3 linked regions of the Danio rerio genome follow. The protein of the gene in region 3 binds, or shares a complex with, the protein of the main gene of each other region. Links are inferred from orthologs where the notes say so. Each region holds a gene or a part of one and is shown on either strand. Other genes may lie near its edges. The genes, in order: nup205, nup107 and nup153.

Region 1 (3,657 bases), on a different chromosome or scaffold from region 3:
TTTTGAATACTATGAATTCATACATACTACTTGACTCGCATACTGGTTTTAACGTACTATATAGTATGGAAGTATGCCATTTCGAATGCAGCTTTTTTTTGTCCCTCTATTCACCTTATTCTCCGCTGACGAGTGGGCGCTGCCATTTGAATCTTTTTGGCTTAAGACTTCCGGTCTCATTCACTTCCATTAATATTTTGACGTTAAAAACTGCTCATTACGCTGCTTTATGATGCAATTTGATATTTTGTTATTATATTATTCTACTTGGTCTGTATAGTCATGCAAACATTTGTTTGTAAAGCAAGTAGTTTGACCGTTTTCTGCCGTTTATTATTCCTAGTCATTTCTCCCATAGGCGACTGAATCGGAAGTTCTAAGACAATCGCAAAAACAGGCGCACTTCCGCATTTTAGAATAAGGTCAATATGACAATTCAATAATTCTAATCTTTGTTTTGGTACAATACAGTGCAGCATGAATACCTTGTTATGAGTACCTTGTTTTGGTGTGCTTTATTACAACACATTGTAATGACGGTTCAAATGATGGGTGTTTACAAAAGTTTATACAAATTAACAGTGGAAGCGATCAAAGTAGCTAAGCATTTTAAACCTCATTACCCCTACTTTGTGTCATCTACTTATAACCAGATTGACAAAACGGCATCTTATTATCAGGTTTAATCAAGGCATTACAAAAAAAATATTCAGTTCAATTTAATTGTTTTTTCATTGTATATTATATGCTGGTTGATGGCACCCATTTACTTCCATAATATTTTATTTTCCTTCTGTAGAAGTCAGTGAGTGCCATCAACCAGCATTCTTCAAAATATCTTCTTTTGGGTTCAGCAGAAGAAAGAAACCTTTAAATGTTTAAAACCAATTAAGGGAGAGTAAATGCTAAACACATTTTTTTTATTTTTTGGGTCAACTATCCTTTAAAGTATGCCGTTCAGAGATTTTGTATAATATTTCCAGTCTTATTTTGACTTGTCAACTGATTGAGTCCATCTTTATTTCCTATAGAAAATGAGATCGCGGCTCTGTCTCAGATGTCCTGGCTAATGAAAACCACAGCAATCGAGCTCCGAGTGACCTCACTGAACCGCCAGCGCTCACACACACAGAGACTCCTGAACCTCCTCCTCGATGACCAGCCACACACATTACACACAGGTAATACACACAGTTCCACAGAGTTCCTCACAGTGTCCAAGCAGCAGCATTGAAGTCAACACATTCTTTGTATTTGTCTTGCAGCAGATGGAGAGACCGGCATGGAGGAGGAGAACAGATCAGTCAGTGGTTTCCTGCAGTTTGGCACCGTCTCCAAGGGTAAGGGAAAGTATTGATACAGTAGCTACAAAAAGTGGTTTCATGGAATCAAAGGAAATTACAACTTGCATTTTACAACCTCCCTAGAGTTAAACAGTTGAGTTGAACCTTTTTTTAATCTATTAAGCCAATATCCAGGTCTGGTGGGAACACTTTTAGTTTAGCTTAGCATAAAGCATTTAATCAGATTTGACCATTAGCATCTTGCTCAAAATAGTTTGATAATTTTCGTATTAAAAGAGTTCTGCTCTTCTGTAGTTACATCATGTAATAAGACCGACTGAAAATAAAAGTTCCCATTTTCTAGGCCGATTCGGCTAGGAACTACTGTCTGGTGTAATAATCAGGAGTTTGCTTCTGTACCATGGCTGAGCAGACACAGTTACATTAAGCAGCAATGATTCTATTTTCAGGGCTGCATAATACCATTGATCCTGGTGGAGCCATAGTTCAGCAGCAAATTCACTTAATCATTACTTCAGAATGAGAATACAGCCATATCAACTTAGAAAATAGCAACTTTTCAGTTTTCCTTGGTCTTAGTACATGATGTAACTACAGAAGAGTCAAACTTTAAATAGGAAAATTATCAAACCTCTTTTTAGACATCTTTGAGTGAGATGCTAATGGTCTAATTCAATTCAATGATTTATGCTAAGGTAAGCTAAGCTTAGGGTAAAGTGTTGCCCCAAACCAAAATGCTATCTTAAAGGTTAAACTGAACCCTTTAACTCTTGGTGACATGAAAATCAGCCTATTTCCAAATAATAAAAGTGTGAAATAATGGTGTTCCTTTAATCATGGTGATCTCTGGTGGTTTTAGTGCGCAGGAGGCTGCTCAGTGTTTTGGATGCCATAGATTTCAGTCAGGAGGCACCAGAGCTTTTGCAGCTGGACTTCTTTGAGCGCACTCAGATCGAGCAGGTCATCACTAACTGTGAACATGTCAACGAGCAGGGACACACCGTCTGCAATGTCAAGGTACATGGATGAAAAACTGAAAAATATTATGTTATTAAAAAAATAATACAAAAAGTATTAAGCTTAAAACTTTTAAATGAAATAGTCTATTCCAATGAAACGCCACAATAATATATATATATATATATATATATATATATATATAAATATATATATATATATATATATATATATATATATATATATATATATATATATATATATATATATTATAAATGTTTTAAATTCAGTTAGGAGGTCATGGCCTGATGTGTCAATCTACTATTGGTGCACAACAAAATAGCCAAATGAACTGAAATACATTAAACAAAGCTAAAGAACTGAAAGGACGTAATTTCTATCAAAATTAAACAAAATTTGCCAATTTGTAACAGCTCATAAACACAAACTTTTAGGGGAGTTTGGCTCCTAAACACTTTTGAAGCACTATTGGTCTATATTTACATTTTTTATTAAAATAATAAAGTGGCTATAAAAACTATCCTTTTAATAAAAGCTTCATCAGTATCTAAGCAAAACTGAAATAACACTTGTATAAATCAAACAGAAATGATGGCGGCATTCACTATAATCAATGTTTATTATAAATCCCAAGTCTAAAATTAATTTCAGGTGAATCTAGTACTCTAATATCTCATTCATTACACAAATGAGAATGTGCTTTCTGTCTGCTTAGTTTTTCTTGGTATTTCATTATATGTCACTTTGGATGATCTGCCTTATTTTTCAGTGCTCCAGTTTTCTGTCAGTGGGCCAGATATCAGAATTATTAGCCACTATAGGGGAATTATAAGCAGAATAACAGTGAAGTGCAGCAGACAGTAATGCTGTGCCACATAATTAGGAAAATATTATAATAAAAATATTGGTTTGTTTATTAAGCAGCAATATTAAATGTGCTGTTTGTACATCTAAAGATAGATGGAAGCCAGACACATTACATATATCAGTGTATTCAATAAGTTACTGCCCATTTCAGTAAAAAGACATTGCTCAAGACCAAAATAAAACATTACTATAAGAATTTTTTTTTTCGGATTACTGTTTTGCAGTTGCTGCATCGAGTTTTAGTTGCAGAGATCAATGCACTACAGGGCATGGCAGCCATCGGGCAAAGACCACTGCTAATGGAGGTGGGTTTATCTATGATATTTTTTCAAGGCTAGGCATTAAAAAAAAAAATCTTGCCTCTGACTGTCTTGTTTTTGTCTCCATCCCATCAGGAGGTGAATTCAGTCCTGCAGCAGGTGGTGGAAAGGAATCGCGTGCGGCGCAGTCTCAGTGCCAAGCGCCATGCTCTGCAGAGCTGGAGGAGTCTGGTGGAGACCATCCTCAC
Region 2 (3,657 bases), on a different chromosome or scaffold from region 3:
AAAGCTTATCCTGTAAATAGTATTTTTAGTAGGAGGTTATGTTTTACAGATTCATGCACAAGATCTCTCAACATTCCTGCAGCTAGTTTTAAAAACAAGGTGTGTCATTTCTGCATAGACTGCCTGTGGTGTTGTGTTTACCGTTTCATTAATCATGTATAACAGTGGCAAACAAGTTTTCCCATGAAGATACAGTTCACTGAAAAATCTAAATTCTGTTTACTGATTTGCTCCAAATCTGTTTGAGTTTTTTTCTTCTGTTCAAAACAAAGTAATATATACTGAAGAATATTGGAGAAAAAAAGCAGCCATTGACTTCCACAGCATTTTTGTTCCCAGATTAAGTGCAAAAGCGGCTTTTAACAAGCTTGCTTCAAAATATTTTGTTTTGTGTTTAACAGAAGAAGGAAATTCATAATATGTACAACCATTTGAGTAAGGAAATAAAAAATGTAGGGTGACCTATACGTTTAAGGGAATTAATAAAGCATCTCAACTAACATACACACATACCTCATCAGTCATGCCAGCTCGTATGAGATTGAAGAGGTTTTTGAGGAGGCGAGAGTCGTCCTCTCTGTCCAGGTCTGCCAGGGGTCTTTTCTGTCTGATGGGAGCATCGGGATCCAGTTCAGTGACCAGTGGCCTGCTTAAACCACCACTGGACTGATTCCTCCTCAGCTTCAGCGTGTGGAGTGTGTTCTCCCTGCACACCAACAAACAGATTAATAAAAAATTTTATTTAGACATACTGAGACATTCTCAAAGACATAAATGAGTGGTAAAATCACTTACCAGTACACAGATTTAGCATAGTATTCAATGTTATCCGAGAAGTCTCCTATATCGTCTTTTGCTATACTCTCCAACCAATCCACCACCAGCTAAATAAAAACACACATCAGATATTGAGCTTTTTTTTTTTTTTCAATGTAAAAATATATTGGTGTAAAATGGATGTATGTTTACCTGGCTCTGTCGCACCATACTGTCCTTTTGGAAGAACTGCTCCATTACTGCTTTCTCACTCTCACTGGGCATCTCCAGAGAAAACACAACACGAAACAGTTCATATCAAAGTGAGATGTCCATGAGTAAAAACATGGCACACACCAGGGCGAACAGTCTAAATGAAACTGATACGGACACTGTATTATATTGACTAGGAGTTTTTAAAACATTAATTTAAACCAAATAAAAAAGAATCTTAAATAAAAAAAAATTACATATTTTGCATTTTGATTGCAGCAAATAAAATTATATAAAAGCTCCAGTAAATTAATTGACATTGTGTCAATTTGTCTAATCAGAATAAAACTGCATCTCTATTTAAACAAACAAGCAAAAAAATACAAATAAAATTGTGATTCTCTGGTTTTATAGAATTACGCAGCTCTATCCCAAGCAGAAGAGTAGAAAGAAACACACATGCACTTACAGTAATATCCATCATGATGTCTTCTTCTAAAACAGTCTGAACTCTGTCTCTGTGTTTGAGAGAGTTTTAACAATACATAAGCAAAAAAGTAATAGTATTCAGATATTTAAAAATCCTACTGTTTTAAAGTCTGGTATTAATAAGATTATTATTATTATTATTGTTTATTTAAACTCATAATATTGTATTTACATAGCATTTATTTGATCAAAAAACAGCAGTGAATAGTAATAGATAAGCTTAATTTACTACAGCAGCCATTACTTCAGTCTTTATTGAGACATAATCTTTGAAAAATCCCTCGACTTTGCTGATTTAGCAGTAAATAATCAATTCTCATTAAACTCAATGTTGAAAAAAGTTGTGCTGCTTTATATTTGTGTGGAAACTGAAACATTTTTGCATTTTTAGATAAACTAAGCAAAAAAACATCAAAAATATTCATTTGAAATGGAAATAGATTTGAAATGCTGTCAATTTTGATAAATTTGCCACATCAGCAACTCATGGGTATTTTATGGCAAGCTTAATATAGATTAAATACAAAAAACTTCAATAACAACTTATTTCTTATGCATTCATCAAAACAGTAGTGTGTGTGGTCTAATGTATGAGTGTGTTGTACCTGTACAGAGAGGTGATAAGTCTCCAGGTCACCATCTCTTGCTGCAATAACCAGGTGATGCTGACAGTCTTGGAGGATTTCTGCTGGCCAGGGGCTGAACGGAGAACCAGTTTCTGCAACACACTGACCTACAAGTCAGGACAGTGCATTAGTAATGACTTGTTGTGCCAATATTTTTACTTGCTATAACACTAAAAACTAAAGTCATTTTTAAAGACTATAGTCTTTTTTTTTTTTTTTTTTATAAAATCACTTACCAGTACACAGATTTAGCATAAAATCACTTACCAGTACATAGAATATGAAAATATTTTATGCATTACATACAGCTACTTATCAAAATTCCTTTGTCAAACAAGTTCATATTTTTGTTCAAGCATTGTGTGTGAATTTTAAAACAGTTACACATAGGTCAACCGAGAGTAAAAAAACATAATAAAAGTATTAGTTTCTTAAACAACTCAAATCAGTGCTGATGATTACTTGGAAAAATAAAATGATTTTAATCCTTAAAATTACAATTAGTTTACATGTTACTGTTTTATTGGAAAACACACAAAAACAAACAATCTCCTCTCAATACACACATATACTAAAGGTAAGAAGATGTATTACAGGATTAATACGTAGGATTATTAGTCTTGGATAAGTCAAGGATCTGAAATAACATTTATTTTAATGCACTTTTTAAGTTATGCTGCACAAAAAATAATCTAAAATAAAATAAAAAACAAAATCTCTCAGTATGTACTACATACAAAACAAACTCTGCTATCCATCCATACAACACAAAAACCAGAATTATAATTACATCATTTAAATACATTTTTCCAGCAGTGCTAAAAAGCTGAATAAAAAAAAGATTATTTGCTCGATGGTCCAAAACTGAAAAAAATGTGTCAAAATATTTAACATTTTCTAAACCAACATTACAATATGCATGTCTTGTAAACACAATTGATGCATTTGAGCAAAGTATGTATGAGTATTTGCTTAAACAGAAAAAAAATGGAATAGCAAAAATGAAAATTTTGTCCTAAAGGTCCTGAATGTATTATAATTGTTTATCTACAGAAAAACTGAATTATACAAATTCAACGTTAATAATAATAATTTTTTTTTATAAAAATATTAAATATATGCTGTTTGTGTTTAATACAGCCTAAACGATCAAAAAAAAAAAAAATATATATATATATATTTAAATTTAAATTATGTACTGCTAGTGTACCTTATCTTGACAGAGAGCTTCATATTCCTCCAACAGGTCAAACACGGCTGTGGACGCATGACGCAAATAAGACTCCAGGAATTCAGGAAACAAACCAAGAGAAGCTAAGAGAAGAAAACAGAAGAGCTGAAAATCATGTCAATTGACCGCTTCATTTGTGATTATGAATTACTAAGAGTATTCACCAGCCTCTCCAGGATCATCTTCCTTCAGCATCAGAGCACTCATGCTAACGTCGTCAGTAAAGCTTGTGTCCACTATTCCTGATAGAGGAGATGGGTAAAGACTGTTCGTCCAGTCACTGTCATCCAAGTTCTGGAGAGCAAACAAACAACAGCAGCACACAAAAATGTTACTAACACC
Region 3 (4,370 bases):
GTGGAATAAAATCGCCAACTCATCCAGCATATGTTTTATGCAGCGGATGCCCCTCCAGCTGCAACCCATCACCGGGAAACATCCATACACTCTCATTCACTCACACACTACAGCCAATTTAGCTAACTCAATTCACCTAGTGCATGTGTTTGGACGGTACGGGAAACCGGAGCACCCGGAGGAAACCCACGCGAACACAGGGAGAACATCAAACTCCACACAGAAATGCCAACTGACCCAGGCTCGAACCAGCGACCTTCTTGCTGTGAGGCAAGAGCGCTACCCACTGCGCCACCGCGTCACCCCAAGAAAATTCTGAATAAATAAAAAATTATTTATTTATTAAAATGATACAAAATGAAACCATTTATTAACAAACAAATTTGTATGTAATTAAATGAAGATTATATTTAAATAATCTAATAATAATAAATTATAATTAGAAAAAAAAAATCCTAAATCAAAATCAAATAAATTACACGTTAAATTGTTAATATGAAATTTATTTAAACAAACAATAAATACATGAATTACATTAAAATGATGAAAAAAATGTCAGAAGCAATTAAAAATTAATAATAAATGCATCACAAAAAAGCAGAATTAAATAAATAAAATTAGTATAATTACAAATGAGTATAAAAATCAATTAGAAATATAATTAATAAATCAATACAATGATTGCATAAAGTAAATTAAAATAATATTTGGTACATTATTTAAAACAATTAAAAAAAAAAAAAAAATATATATATATATATATATATATATATATATATATATATATATATATATATATATATATATATATATATATATTGTTTCAACTGCAAAGCGATGGGTAGTATAATCGCCTCACAACAAGAAGGTCGCTGGTTCGAGCCTTGACTGGGTCTGTAGGTGTTTCTGTGTGGGGTTGCATGTGTTGGCGTGGGTTTCCTCCGGGTGCTCCGGTTTCCCCCACAGTCCAAACACATGCGGTACAGGTGGATTGGGTAGGCTAAATTGTATGTTGGTGAATAAGTGTGTATGGGTGTTTCCCAGTGATGGGTTGCGGCTGGAAGGGCATCTGCTGCGTAATACATATGCTGCATGAGTTTGCAGTTCATTCCGCTGTGGCGACCCCTGATTAATAAAGGGAATAAGCCGAAAAGAAAATGAATGAATGATATCTAATATCTAATATTTATGTTTACACTACATAAGCTATGGGTGGTTATACAAGAACCATTCATGACTGCTAGATGTTTATTTCTGGCATGAAGATGAACATATTTGGAGAAACCACTGTTTTAAAAATGAAACAGAAAGTATCTTGACCTAATTTACTAAATACCTCAGTTTACTCACATCTACAAAAGCAAAATCCCCTACCACCCGAACGAAGTTCCTACAAACTGACGTCAATAGTGAACGCGCATGAAGTGTCCTCCTGAACTACATATCCCATGAAACCCAGCGCCGCGGTGGCTGACGGTATATTGGAGGGCCGCGCTGTGACAGCGGAGCTCTATCCGGCGAGCGCTACTGAGCAGACTCAATCTAGTTAACCATGGCGGCGACAGGAGGAGGGAAAATCAGATCCAGAAGACACCACATTGCGTCAAAACCCTACGCCAAAGGCAAACAGGTAAACAAAACCAACATGAAGCGCCAACAGCGGGGAATGTAACGGTTATTAACGGAACCCTAACCAGCGGTTTGGCGGCGGGTTTTGTTTTTGTGAAGCAGGAGACATTTTGAGGCCTGTTTTAGGCCTGTTCACGTTCTTCCAGCACACGCTTTCCACACCGCCAACTCATTTGACTGATAAAACAAAGCCACTCGGTGAGGAAAATACTCGAAAATATGGCGACTGAGAAGTGAAATTTGAATGTGTTTTCACTGAGGTGAAGACAACCGCGTGAACGCGTTTCATACCCAAACCGTTAGCCGTTAGCTGCGGCTAGCACCGGCGTCAGATATAATCACTTCAGTCCAAACAAACCATTAAAACTTGGTTTTCGTAGCGAACGATTTCCTATTTAAGTTCTTTATACTCTTACTTTGACTACATAACTCGCGTGTGTCGCTCAGAGTGACTCCACATGAGAGTAATGAGCTTCAGAGCACTTTTTGTGTGCGTGTTGTTATATTTGTAAGTTTTAAGCTTGGTTGATGATCGTTTTGGATGTGATTAGAGATTAATATAACGGTATGTTTTGGCGTACATTATGCTGCTTAACGCAGTGGGGTTTGACATCATGAAGAAAGGCGGGATGAGCGAGTGTGTGCGTGTCGTGGCGTGTTTTCATCTGCACATCACACACACACTGGAAATCCTGCACTCATGTTATTTCATAAAGAACGTAAAGGTGTTGTGATTAACACAGGTTCGTGTGTGTTTTCATTAACAACAATTTTAATTAGCCTTATAGTGATCCTGAATTCATCATAAACAGTTATTCTGATAATTCATAACCTAAACACTATGAATCATAGTTGAAAATCACTTTGCATTTTTCGTGATATTACTAGATTATCTGTTTTAGGCAAATTAAGTGGGTTAGAGAGGCACATAAGCTATTTGGCAGTCAAAAACGCATTTTCTTTTGTGTGAGGTTTAATTAGAAGTTAGAAATAGTCGATGCATAGTGTTATGTGTAGGATACTGTAAAAATGAGACTGTTGATGTATTGAAAAATCATGAAATAAACTGGTTCGTGTTCAGCATGGTCAAAGTGTGTATTCTGGTATATTTAGTAATTAACCCCACGTAGAAATGCAAGATGTGAAGGCAGTTTAAAAGTCAGGGCGGTACATACTCGTATTTTTGTTGACATTTGTGCATCATTGCGCCTTGTTTTTATTTTCTACTGTCAATAGATTAATTGCACAGTATATTCTTTTTTTTCCCAATGAATTTAAGCCCCTCATTAATAAGGTTTTAAAACTGCATGTTCCAAGCTTAATAAAAAAGCAAGCACTTTATTGAATCTAGCTTAGGGTACATTAATTATGTTTATGCTGATCTATTAAAACCACAAGAAATTTTGTATTCGCCATGATCGGCCTGTAGCTCTCTGTGACTTACTGAAGAAATGCTGTGTGCTCTAGTTAAGTATGCTCATGTTTATTAGTGTTGTTTTGACTGTTAAATACTTGCTCATGCGTAAATATGTTATACACATACGAATAACCTCTCTGCTTTCCCCAAATCACTTTTTATTCTTTACCTGGTTACCTGAAAACAAAGTTTTTTTCGTTTTTGTTTTCTCCCAAAAAAGCCACATTTTACTGGACTGTCCTGCTTTTAATGATTCCAGAAGACTTTTTTTATGAAATTAACTCTTTTAAGGACATTTTTAACAAGGTGAAACTAGAAAAGATTTTAGAATTTCTATCATGCATCAACACTAAAAATCCTATTTAATTTATGTATTCTTTTGTTTGTTGACTTTTAATTGTGTATATATATTGTTGAAAGGTTCCTGCTATGAAAATAGCCTTAGTTGCTGAAATGGCATTAGATAAATACATTACATTACATTCCCAAAAAAGCCATAGTTGTAACCTCTTTATAAAAAGTATGCTTTGTCAGGCTTATAAATGCTGGGGCACACCAGGTTTACGCCTTACAACTAGCGCCAATGAAAACCGTTTGTAAGATGATTTGTTTTATTACTTTGCTTCGCAATAATCTGTTTTGTTGTTCAATACATGAAAACCGAACTTCCGACATGCACATGCAAAGTAGAGGTGTAAACCTACACTGGCCTCACGGTTCGGTTACGATTATCATGCCATCGATTCTATTCATTTCGATATCTCGGTGCATCACTGTGCATTGTCTGCTTTTTATACTTTATATGTGGATGTTTTGCATTTTCTGATTTGTTACCCTAATGTACAAGTCGCTCAAACTTACTCATTAAGATGCGGGAACCGGCAGACGTGCAACAGCATTAATCATAAACACAAAACTACAGTTTCCATCCGGAGCGACTTCACAGACTCTCGACACTTGTAAACACTCACTCAAACAGGTTGGCGCGGATCTCTGTCTCACCCACACTGGTCACAGCTAACAAGCTGACCTATTACAAAGCTTGTACTATGCGTCGTTGTGAAAGTATAGTTATATTTCTTGAGAAGTGTGCGGCAGCCACTGCGAGTGCTATGCAACTGCAAAGGCTGCACTGGAGCATACAAGTGCGCTTGATGAAGAAATGTAAATCAGCCTTAATTGTCTGCTTGCTACATTACTTCAGTTTTTATTTTTGCACTCTGATTGGTTGCTGAATAACCAATCAGATGCTGACCTTGCCCTGTAATCTTCAACATAAACCCGACAATACACAACGTGGAACACACCAAACCAACTAGCGAGA

What was found.
Region 1: nup153 (region 3) and nup205 share a complex: the UniProt entries of both Homo sapiens proteins name them as parts of the nuclear pore complex. The link is inferred for Danio rerio from reciprocal best matches to the Homo sapiens genes NUP153 and NUP205.
Region 2: nup153 (region 3) and nup107 share a complex: the UniProt entries of both Homo sapiens proteins name them as parts of the nuclear pore complex. The link is inferred for Danio rerio from reciprocal best matches to the Homo sapiens genes NUP153 and NUP107.

What each region holds. Positions count from the first base shown.
Region 1 is NC_133193.1:13,606,412-13,610,068, reverse strand, and holds part of nup205 (nuclear pore complex protein Nup205), read left to right. Parts: intron 1-1,031; coding exon 1,032-1,181; intron 1,182-1,265; coding exon 1,266-1,340; intron 1,341-2,163; coding exon 2,164-2,321; intron 2,322-3,373; coding exon 3,374-3,454; intron 3,455-3,544; coding exon 3,545-3,657. UniProt on the Homo sapiens protein: Plays a role in the nuclear pore complex (NPC) assembly and/or maintenance. May anchor NUP62 and other nucleoporins, but not NUP153 and TPR, to the NPC.
Region 2 is NC_133179.1:23,343,332-23,346,988, forward strand, and holds part of nup107 (nuclear pore complex protein Nup107), read right to left. Parts: intron 3,610-3,657; coding exon 3,480-3,609; intron 3,399-3,479; coding exon 3,295-3,398; intron 2,192-3,294; coding exon 2,064-2,191; intron 1,488-2,063; coding exon 1,439-1,487; intron 1,042-1,438; coding exon 970-1,041; intron 885-969; coding exon 796-884; intron 707-795; coding exon 514-706; intron 1-513. UniProt on the Homo sapiens protein: Plays a role in the nuclear pore complex (NPC) assembly and/or maintenance. Required for the assembly of peripheral proteins into the NPC. May anchor NUP62 to the NPC. Involved in nephrogenesis.
Region 3 is NC_133194.1:48,945,456-48,949,825, reverse strand, and holds the start of nup153 (nuclear pore complex protein Nup153), read left to right. Parts: upstream 1-1,475; 5' UTR 1,476-1,552; coding exon 1,553-1,630; intron 1,631-4,370. UniProt on the Homo sapiens protein: Component of the nuclear pore complex (NPC), a complex required for the trafficking across the nuclear envelope. Functions as a scaffolding element in the nuclear phase of the NPC essential for normal nucleocytoplasmic transport of proteins and mRNAs.